Bombyx mori: one gene and its partner. The protein of the gene in region 1 binds, or shares a complex with, the protein of each later gene. Links are inferred from orthologs where the notes say so. Each region holds a gene or a part of one and is shown in the gene's direction. Other genes may lie near its edges.

The links. Proteins that work in one complex are often made in the same cells at the same time.
Region 2: DNA replication licensing factor Mcm5 (region 1) and probable DNA replication complex GINS protein PSF2 share a complex: the UniProt entries of both Homo sapiens proteins name them as parts of the CMG helicase complex. The link is inferred for Bombyx mori from reciprocal best matches to the Homo sapiens genes MCM5 and GINS2.

The regions. Positions count from the first base shown.
Region 1 is NC_085131.1:8,499,306-8,503,569, reverse strand, and holds the start of DNA replication licensing factor Mcm5, read left to right. Parts: upstream 1-1,464; 5' UTR 1,465-1,573; coding exon 1,574-1,728; intron 1,729-1,802; coding exon 1,803-1,950; intron 1,951-1,963; exon of another isoform or gene 1,964-2,259; intron 2,260-2,892; coding exon 2,893-3,000; intron 3,001-3,150; coding exon 3,151-3,323; intron 3,324-3,619; coding exon 3,620-3,698; intron 3,699-3,879; coding exon 3,880-4,038; intron 4,039-4,152; coding exon 4,153-4,264. Other genes in the region: dynein beta chain, ciliary, read right to left, coding at 64-72. UniProt on the Homo sapiens protein: Acts as a component of the MCM2-7 complex (MCM complex) which is the replicative helicase essential for 'once per cell cycle' DNA replication initiation and elongation in eukaryotic cells.
Region 2 is NC_085116.1:1,524,802-1,528,758, forward strand, and holds probable DNA replication complex GINS protein PSF2, read left to right. Parts: upstream 1-1,157; 5' UTR 1,158-1,690; coding exon 1,691-1,935; intron 1,936-2,376; coding exon 2,377-2,549; intron 2,550-2,822; coding exon 2,823-3,118; 3' UTR 3,119-3,582; coding exon of another isoform or gene 3,583-3,660; 3' UTR 3,661-3,781; downstream 3,782-3,957. UniProt on the Homo sapiens protein: Required for correct functioning of the GINS complex, a complex that plays an essential role in the initiation of DNA replication, and progression of DNA replication forks.

The DNA.
Region 1 (4,264 bases):
GGCAAAATAATTATAAAAATATCTCCTCCTATTTAATTAAAAATAACTTCTATTTTCACTTACATCTCCCATGACTAAATTTGACTCATAAATTAACTAGATAACATTCGTTATACTTTCATTTTGCGTAATTAAATAAGAGATATTTGCATACAACTCAAAACAATCGATCGATATTTAATCAACAAATTCGTAACCATAGCAACCCCGCCGTAATTTAAATTTTACAAACAGTTGAGGTTTTAAAATAGTAGCGATGAAATGTTAAAAATGATCACCTCCTTTAATTTTAAAGAGAAATAAACAAATAAAATAAAAATATTAGGTATAATGATTTTATTAAATTGAAATTGAGCCTTCGAACTCAAGCTCAATTAATTAAATTGTTCTGGTGTTTTGTTACTCAAGTGCAGTGCCAACATCCACATTGTGATGTCAACATGCTCCAGTAAGGTCTCAATTGCATAGTGGCTGTCCCAATCCAAACGGGAAGGCATGAATCACTTTTTTTTCTACCTACGGTGGTATCGTTAGAGGGTTATGCCAGCGTCACTGAACTAGTAGGTGAGCTCACGGGGGTCTAACCTGAGGACGTTACTAACAATAACCCAACAAGAGCAGTACTTCGCAGAATCAACCAACGGAGCGGAAACGCAACCGACTGAAAAGGAAAACCGGCGAGAAACTCAGTGAGCTGTGTCTGTGGGTTAATTTACTTACCGAACCCTTCGTCGCACGCGACGGTTTCGATGACCGGTGCTCGAGGTACCTAAAAGCACCTACTCAGGAGGATCCAAAATGACGTGCTTAAGGCGACGTCGACTGTTTCGGTCCGCAAGATCGGGTATGTAGTTACCAGCGGCCACGGCAAGAGGGTTTTCGTGTCGAGCCGCTTTCTCAAAATGACGCACCGATTCTGACTGTATACACCTACTGATGGAGTCTAACTCCATATCGTCGTGAAGATCCACGTTCCTCATGAACCACGGTGCTCCAACGGCTATCCTGCAAAAACAGAATTGGATGATTTGAAGGGGCTTCAAAGTAATTCGAGCCGCGTGAGCGAACACTACACTTGCACAGTTCATGACTGGACGTATGCAAATTTTGTATAATGTCATCTTATTACGAAAGGACAATTTACTTTGCTTGCAAATCATCGGATAGACCTGCACAAATGCGGCAAAGAAACAAAGGCACTGGATGTAGCTTCTCGGGATCTTCCAAAAAGTCTCAATAAATAACCACTATTTTACTGAGACAATATTTCATCCCATATCATCTCATCTCATTTCATTTTATTTCGTTTTCATTTCATTTCATGCTATGTTTCTTAATAATCAACTTCACTTCATTTCATAATATCATTTAACTTAAAAAAAAGTTATCATTTATATTAACATAAGACTTGACCTAAAGGTCTTAGTAACCAGGTCATAAAATCCCTTAAAAAAAAAAGTTTCGCGCCAATTAAATGTGTTTGGGAAAGGTAAACTTGTCAGTGACGATAAAATTAGTTTTAAATTTAAATTAAATAACATATAACGGGTTAGTTAGGTTGTGATTTAGTAACATGGAAGGTTTTGATGATCCTGGTGTATTTTTCTCTGATAATTTTGGTGTAGAAGAAAACGAATCTCAAGATCATGTTAATTTACAAGCAGTCAAAAAGAAATTCAAAGAATTCATGAGACAGTTTCATACTGGAAACTTCAATTACAAATACAGGTAAAAAATCGTTTCTTAACCAGTACCTAGCATAGGATTTCAAACTAAACTTCATTCCTTGATACAAATTGTAGAGATGCCCTCAAACGCAACTATAACCTAAACCAATATTGGGTCGAGATAAATATTGAAGATTTGTCTAGTTTTGATGACGTTCTTGCTGAAAAATTATACAAGAAACCAACTGAACATTTGCCTATACTAGAAGAAGCTGCTAAAGAGGTATTAAGACAAGTTGTTGATACATAATATTATGGTATAACTAATTATTTATTACTCCTTCAATAAAACTGTGGATAGTTTGACAATGCACACCCACTTAAAGAGACTTGTAACATTAAATTGTTTTGGACCAAATTATTATATAGTAAAACTTGAATACAGTGTATATGAGCTGTTAAAATCCTTACATAAAAAATTTAAAGGTATTACTAAACAAAACTATCTTTAAACTAGATAAGGAGTAAATAGGCTGAGTTGACTAGTTTTTTTTGAAGTCTAAACATCATACACGAGAATGCCACCATCCACCTGGAAATAAAGCTATAGTCATTATCATACTATTTTCAATCACACTTAAGATAAGTGTAACAACATTCTAAATTTAACCTACATAAGAAAGAGACTGTTTTGAAGTCGTTGTGACCTAAAAGATAAGACGTCCGGTGCATTCGTGTTGAAGCGATGCACCGGTGTTCGAATCCTGCAGGCGGGTACCAATTTTTCTAATGAAATACGTACTCAACAAATGTTCACGATTGACTTCCACAGTGAAGGAATAACATCGTGTAATAAAAGTGAAACCCGCAAAATTATAATTTGCCTAATTACTGGTGGTAGGACCTGTTGTGAGTCCGCGCGGGTAGGTACCACCGCCCTGCCTATTTCTGCCGTGAAGCAGTAATGCGTTTCGGTTTGAAGGGTGGGGCAGCCGTTGTAACTATACTGAGACCTAACAACTTATATCTCAAGGTGTGTGGCGCATTTACGTTGTAGATGTCTATGGGCTCCAGTAACCACTTAACATCAGGTGGGCTGTGAGCTCGTCCATCCATCTAAGCAATAAAAAAAAAAAAAAACTTATTTTTTTTATAATCTGTTAACCTCTGCTTGTTTTGATATGCAGCACCTAAAGGTTGCAATCAACTAATGTACATTTTCCAGTTAGCTGATGAGTTGACTGCACCGAGACCAGAAGGTGAGGAGAAAGTTGAGGATATTCAAGTGCTTTTGTCATCAGATGCACATTCATCAAATTTGAGGGAGCTTAAAGTAAGTTAATATTTATCTAGTTATAAAATTTAAAAATAGTAAACAGATTCAAATTTAATTAACATTTCGTTATGAGCTTGTCTATACATTTAGGTTAGTAAAATAAATGTTGATTATATGACAAAATACAAAATGAAAAATTTTGTTTAGTCAGAAACTGTATCAAGACTAGTGAAGATTCCTGGTATTGTAATATCAGCATCCGGTATTAAAGCAAAAGCCACAAAAATATCCATACAATGTCGCTCATGCCGCAATGTTATTCCCAATCTTCCTGTGAAGCCAGGTCTGGAAGGATATGTCATGCCAAGAAAATGCAATACGTAAGTTAATTTCATTAAAGTATCCCAATTTTAAAAATAGTATGTTCTTTGGGACCACTAAATTTGAACCTAAAGTAAATATTCTCTATTACTGAGTCATACCAGTTTTGATTTTAAGCCACTAATCTTATGTTTTATTATATGAAGAAAAAGGAGAATCTATGGAAGAAAGTTTCTCAATTACTATACCCTGGTTATATCTTGAGACTGCTCTAGATAATATATTCCCTAAACTCATTCGTGATTTATCTTCATTTTTGTTCTTTCATTTACACATTTCATGTTTCAATTTTCAGAGAACAATCTGGACGTCCTAAATGTCCTTTAGATCCATATTTCATTATTCCCGACAAATGCAAATGTATCGATTATCAGGTAATTGTAGTATTAAGATGTCATTATGTAAATTACATTACAATACTTCTATTTATAACTGTCAGAAATGTTTTGAAATGCATCATATTAAAAGTATTAATGGTTTAGTTTAGTGTGCACATGTGAATATCTTAGAAATAATAAGAGATATAAAAACAGTGATTTTCAAATTAATTTACAGGTGTTGAAACTTCAAGAAGCACCAGAAAGTATTCCACAAGGAGAAATGCCAAGGCATTTGACTGTATACTGTGATCGTACATTATGCGAACGTGTTGCACCAGGCGCACGAGTCACGGTTTTGGGGATTTATTCTATAAAAAAGATAGCAAAAGTAGGGGTTAGTACTGAATATGACTATCATTTAAGAATGACAGTAATAATAATTATGCCAATGATTTTATCAAAACTTCGAGCCTGCGAATTATTGTAGTTCGTGATTTGACATTTACAGCGCGAGGGTCGCGACAAAGGCTCCGTAGGCGTCCGGTCATCGTACCTACGAGCCGTAGGGCTCACCGCAGAGGAAGGTGTCACTAGCGGCCTGAGACCCTTTACTGCAGAAG
Region 2 (3,957 bases), on another chromosome or scaffold:
AACACTGGATTTATGAAACTTATTTCATAAATTCGATCTACTAAGTCGTATTATTTAAACGTTATTCCCGCCAATTTTCCTTTTTTTTAAGGGATTTTATGAACTGGTAACTAAGACTTTTAGGTCATTTTTCGTATTTTCGTATTTTAATTTATATTCATAGTTTTATGAAAAATGATAATATGGAGTGAAATGAAATGAAAATAATTAATTTGAGACATTAATCAACTGGGATGAAATATAATCTCAGTAAAATGGTGGTCACTTACCGCCAAAAAATCTGCATCACTATGTCAGTATGTCAAAGCATAGAACACTTACTATTTGAGTTTCAAAGTCAAACAATTAAGCTCTATAAACAAGAGTAAATATCAGTGGTCTCGAACCTACCGATTTTTCGGTATATCTACCGATATGGGCACTGATCTATTGAAATACCGAAATAAAATGATTTTTCTACGATTTCAGAGTATACATGGAAATTCTCCCGATTTTTCTACCGATTTGACACTTTTAGACATTATTGATCCAAAACATGTTAAAATTGGCAAGACTACTTCGATACTACTTAAAAGTAGGCTCTTTCCCAATATTGTTCAGAGCAATGATTTCCAGGAAATTGATAGAGTAGCGCATTTTAAGAAATTGTGAATAAATCAAAACATTTCCTAATGATGTAGAACTATTTTGGGAAGAAGTAACTTTATTAAAACGTGGCGATGAAACTCAAATGTTTCCTTTGTTGTCTAATTTCATCCTTAATATTTTATCACTTTCCTATTCATCCGCTAACGTTGAACGCATATTTATTCTTTTGAAAACAAAACAGCGAAATAGGCTGTCTACTGAGTCAATCACTGGTCTATTACATGCAAAACGACTCTATAATACAGCTAATTGCTATGATTTTGAAATTAATTCAACGATGACTGCAGCTATGGCCAAACAATATTGGTATAAAAAATATTTATTCTTAAATATGATTGTTATAAATTAGTATGTAAGTTTTTTTTTCAATAAATAAACGCATTTGATTGAATATTGTATATTTTTTGACTAATACCGATTTTGGGTACAAAATAGTACAAATGTACCGATTTTAGCTGGCAAGTCTACTAATCTCGCTCTATGACGTTTGAGATCAGTGATAAAGATAAGGCGACTTTTTGGCGGGAACGCGAGGAGTGAAGTTGTGTGTTTTGTTTTATTTTGTCTATTTAGTGTTTCTTGGGTTTATATGTGTAATAATGGTGGTTTATTAACTGTTTAATATCTGTGAAAGTGCAAAAATGTGGGAAAATGAAACAAAGCCGCTGGACGTCACTTCTCGGGATCCTCCAAAAGTCCAACGAAAAAATCTCAGTAAATGACCACCATTTTACTGAGATTATAGTTCATCCCATATCATCTCATCTCATTTCATTTGATTTCATCCCAGTTAATTAATGTCTCAAATTAATTATCTTCATTTCATTTCATCATTTTTCATAAAAATAAGAGTATAAATTAAAATAAGACATGACTTAAAAGTCTTAGTTACCAGGTCATAATATAAAATACCTAAAAAAATATGATAAATAAAAACATGATAAAGGTAGGTAATATTCCTAAATTTTTAACCAAAATGAATTAAATTAAATATATGTATATTATTAAATGATTATAAATTATTAAAACCATAAAAATAATAATGGAACCTTATGAAATCGAGTTTATTGGTGAGAATCGGATAATCAGTATAACACCAAACTTTACCCATGATAAAATATACTTGATATGCGGTGAATTTGGTCCGTTTCGTGCTGGTTTACCTGTGAACGTACCACTCTGGCTGGCTATCATGCTAAAGCAGAAACAAAAGTGCCATGTTATCCCTCCTGACTGGATGGACGTGGAAGTTTTGGAGAATATTAAAGAAGAGGAAAAGCGTTCCAGGTTTGTCAATATATTTAATAAATTTGGTTTTTTACAAAACACACCAGTTTCAAAACTTTGATCTTTCTAGGTGGTCCAGTTTATTCCAGATACAATTTAATATTTTGTTTATACAACTTCCATGTCTTAATTTTAAATCAAAAAGTATATTTTATTATTATGGTTTATGTTATAAATACCTTCTAGAGCCATCCATTCTAACACTGATACTAAACAATAACTATTAGTGGTCTACCTGTTAATAAATCTCAAATTGTAACATGATTAAAAAACTTGAAGTTCATTGGTCAATAAATATATCTTTGCCAGTACTCATGAAAGGGTGTGTAAATATAAAATCTATCATTAAATGGCGTTTGAGAATTATCAGCAAGATAAAGCAAGTAGTTGTAGTAGTCAAAGTTTTCACATTAAATCTTCCTAAAATTATCAAACTACCAGATTCTTCACAAAGATGCCAAATGAACACTATATGGTGGAAGCCAAACTGATACTTGGTTCAGCTGCCGAAGATGTTCCCAATGCACCAGAAATAAAGACTATTATCAAAGACATCTGGGATATAAGAATGTCTAAGTTACGAACATCAATGGATGCATTGATGAAAACTGGAGGTTTGTAATGATTCCTTTAAAATACTTTACTTTTAAGTACTTTTAACTTACATTTTAAAGATTTTTGAATTGAGAGGATTTTATATTTTATTTTATTGTAACTGATGATATTGTAAACCTGCATGGATCAGAAAGCCTATAATGATGATATGTGGTCTTCGGTAACAACTTAACACCAGAATGGTATGCTTAAATTAAGATAAGAAAAAAATATAGAATGTGACTTACTCAGTCATAAGTTAAATTCAGGACATTTATAATTGACATTTTCAGGTGGCTATGGCAGATTAGATCATTTAACAATGATGGAAATAAACTCAGTGAAACCTCTTCTACCTGCTGCTATGGACAACCTCTTAAGGATGCAAATGGTAAGAACATGTGTGACAAATTGTAATATACTCTCCTTTAGACACATCCTTCTGTATTTTCATCTCCACTTTGTCCTTTTTACGAATATCTCTGAATGTATGTACCATCCTTCGGACCATCTTATACGTGACACATTTATGCATTCTACTCTGAAGGATCCTTGGATTTCTGTTCTAGACTTCACTCTCGTGTCCTAGTAGAAGGGCAAATCACATTGTTGTGATGATGATGTGTGTTACCAAAACTAAAACTGTGAGTGTGCAGTGAGTTCAGCTAACCTAAGGTTTAGTAACTACGGTAATTTGGAGTTTGTAAACCTGGTCTTATCAATATCATTGTTAAACTTAAATTCGGTATTGAAGATTTTTTTATTTGTTTTATAGAGTAAATTACAGTAAGCTGTCTTTAGACTTTCAACTGTAGTTTTGACAAAAATAATTTGATAGGCAGTACACGCACAATGTCCATATCAGTGAATCTACACTGGATCTAGTAGATCTGAAGACACTCTTCTTCAGTCTTCTTGTTGTCATTTGGTTGTCCGTTAGATGCTTAGCAAGGTTATTTGGGTGGGCTTTAAAATTGAAGATCTGAGTGCAATTATTCTTATATGTACTTGCAGTACAGTTTTGTAACAAATAATCAACTTTTTGTTTTACAGAAAACGAAAAAGACAGCACCATCGCTCAATTTAAATAGTTCAACCTTCAGTCAATCAGGGAGCTCTCAAAATACATAGTTTTAAGTGTAGTTAAGTGTAGTTTAAGTTTAGTAAGTTCTTAATACTTTTTAATGATTTTGTAACAAAGTGGTTGGTAACAATCAAAAAGTGGTAATAACATTAAAAACACTTATTGTAACCTTGTTTTTATTCTTTTTAGATATTTAAAATTGCATGCATTTAGAGTTGATCTTATTATATTAAACATTTGATAACCTGTTGTTTTAGACCGAAACCTCAAATCTCAACAGTTTTTATTTTTCACTGCCTAATCTTCGGTAGCCTACGGGGCTGTTCAACTACGCGCGGACCATT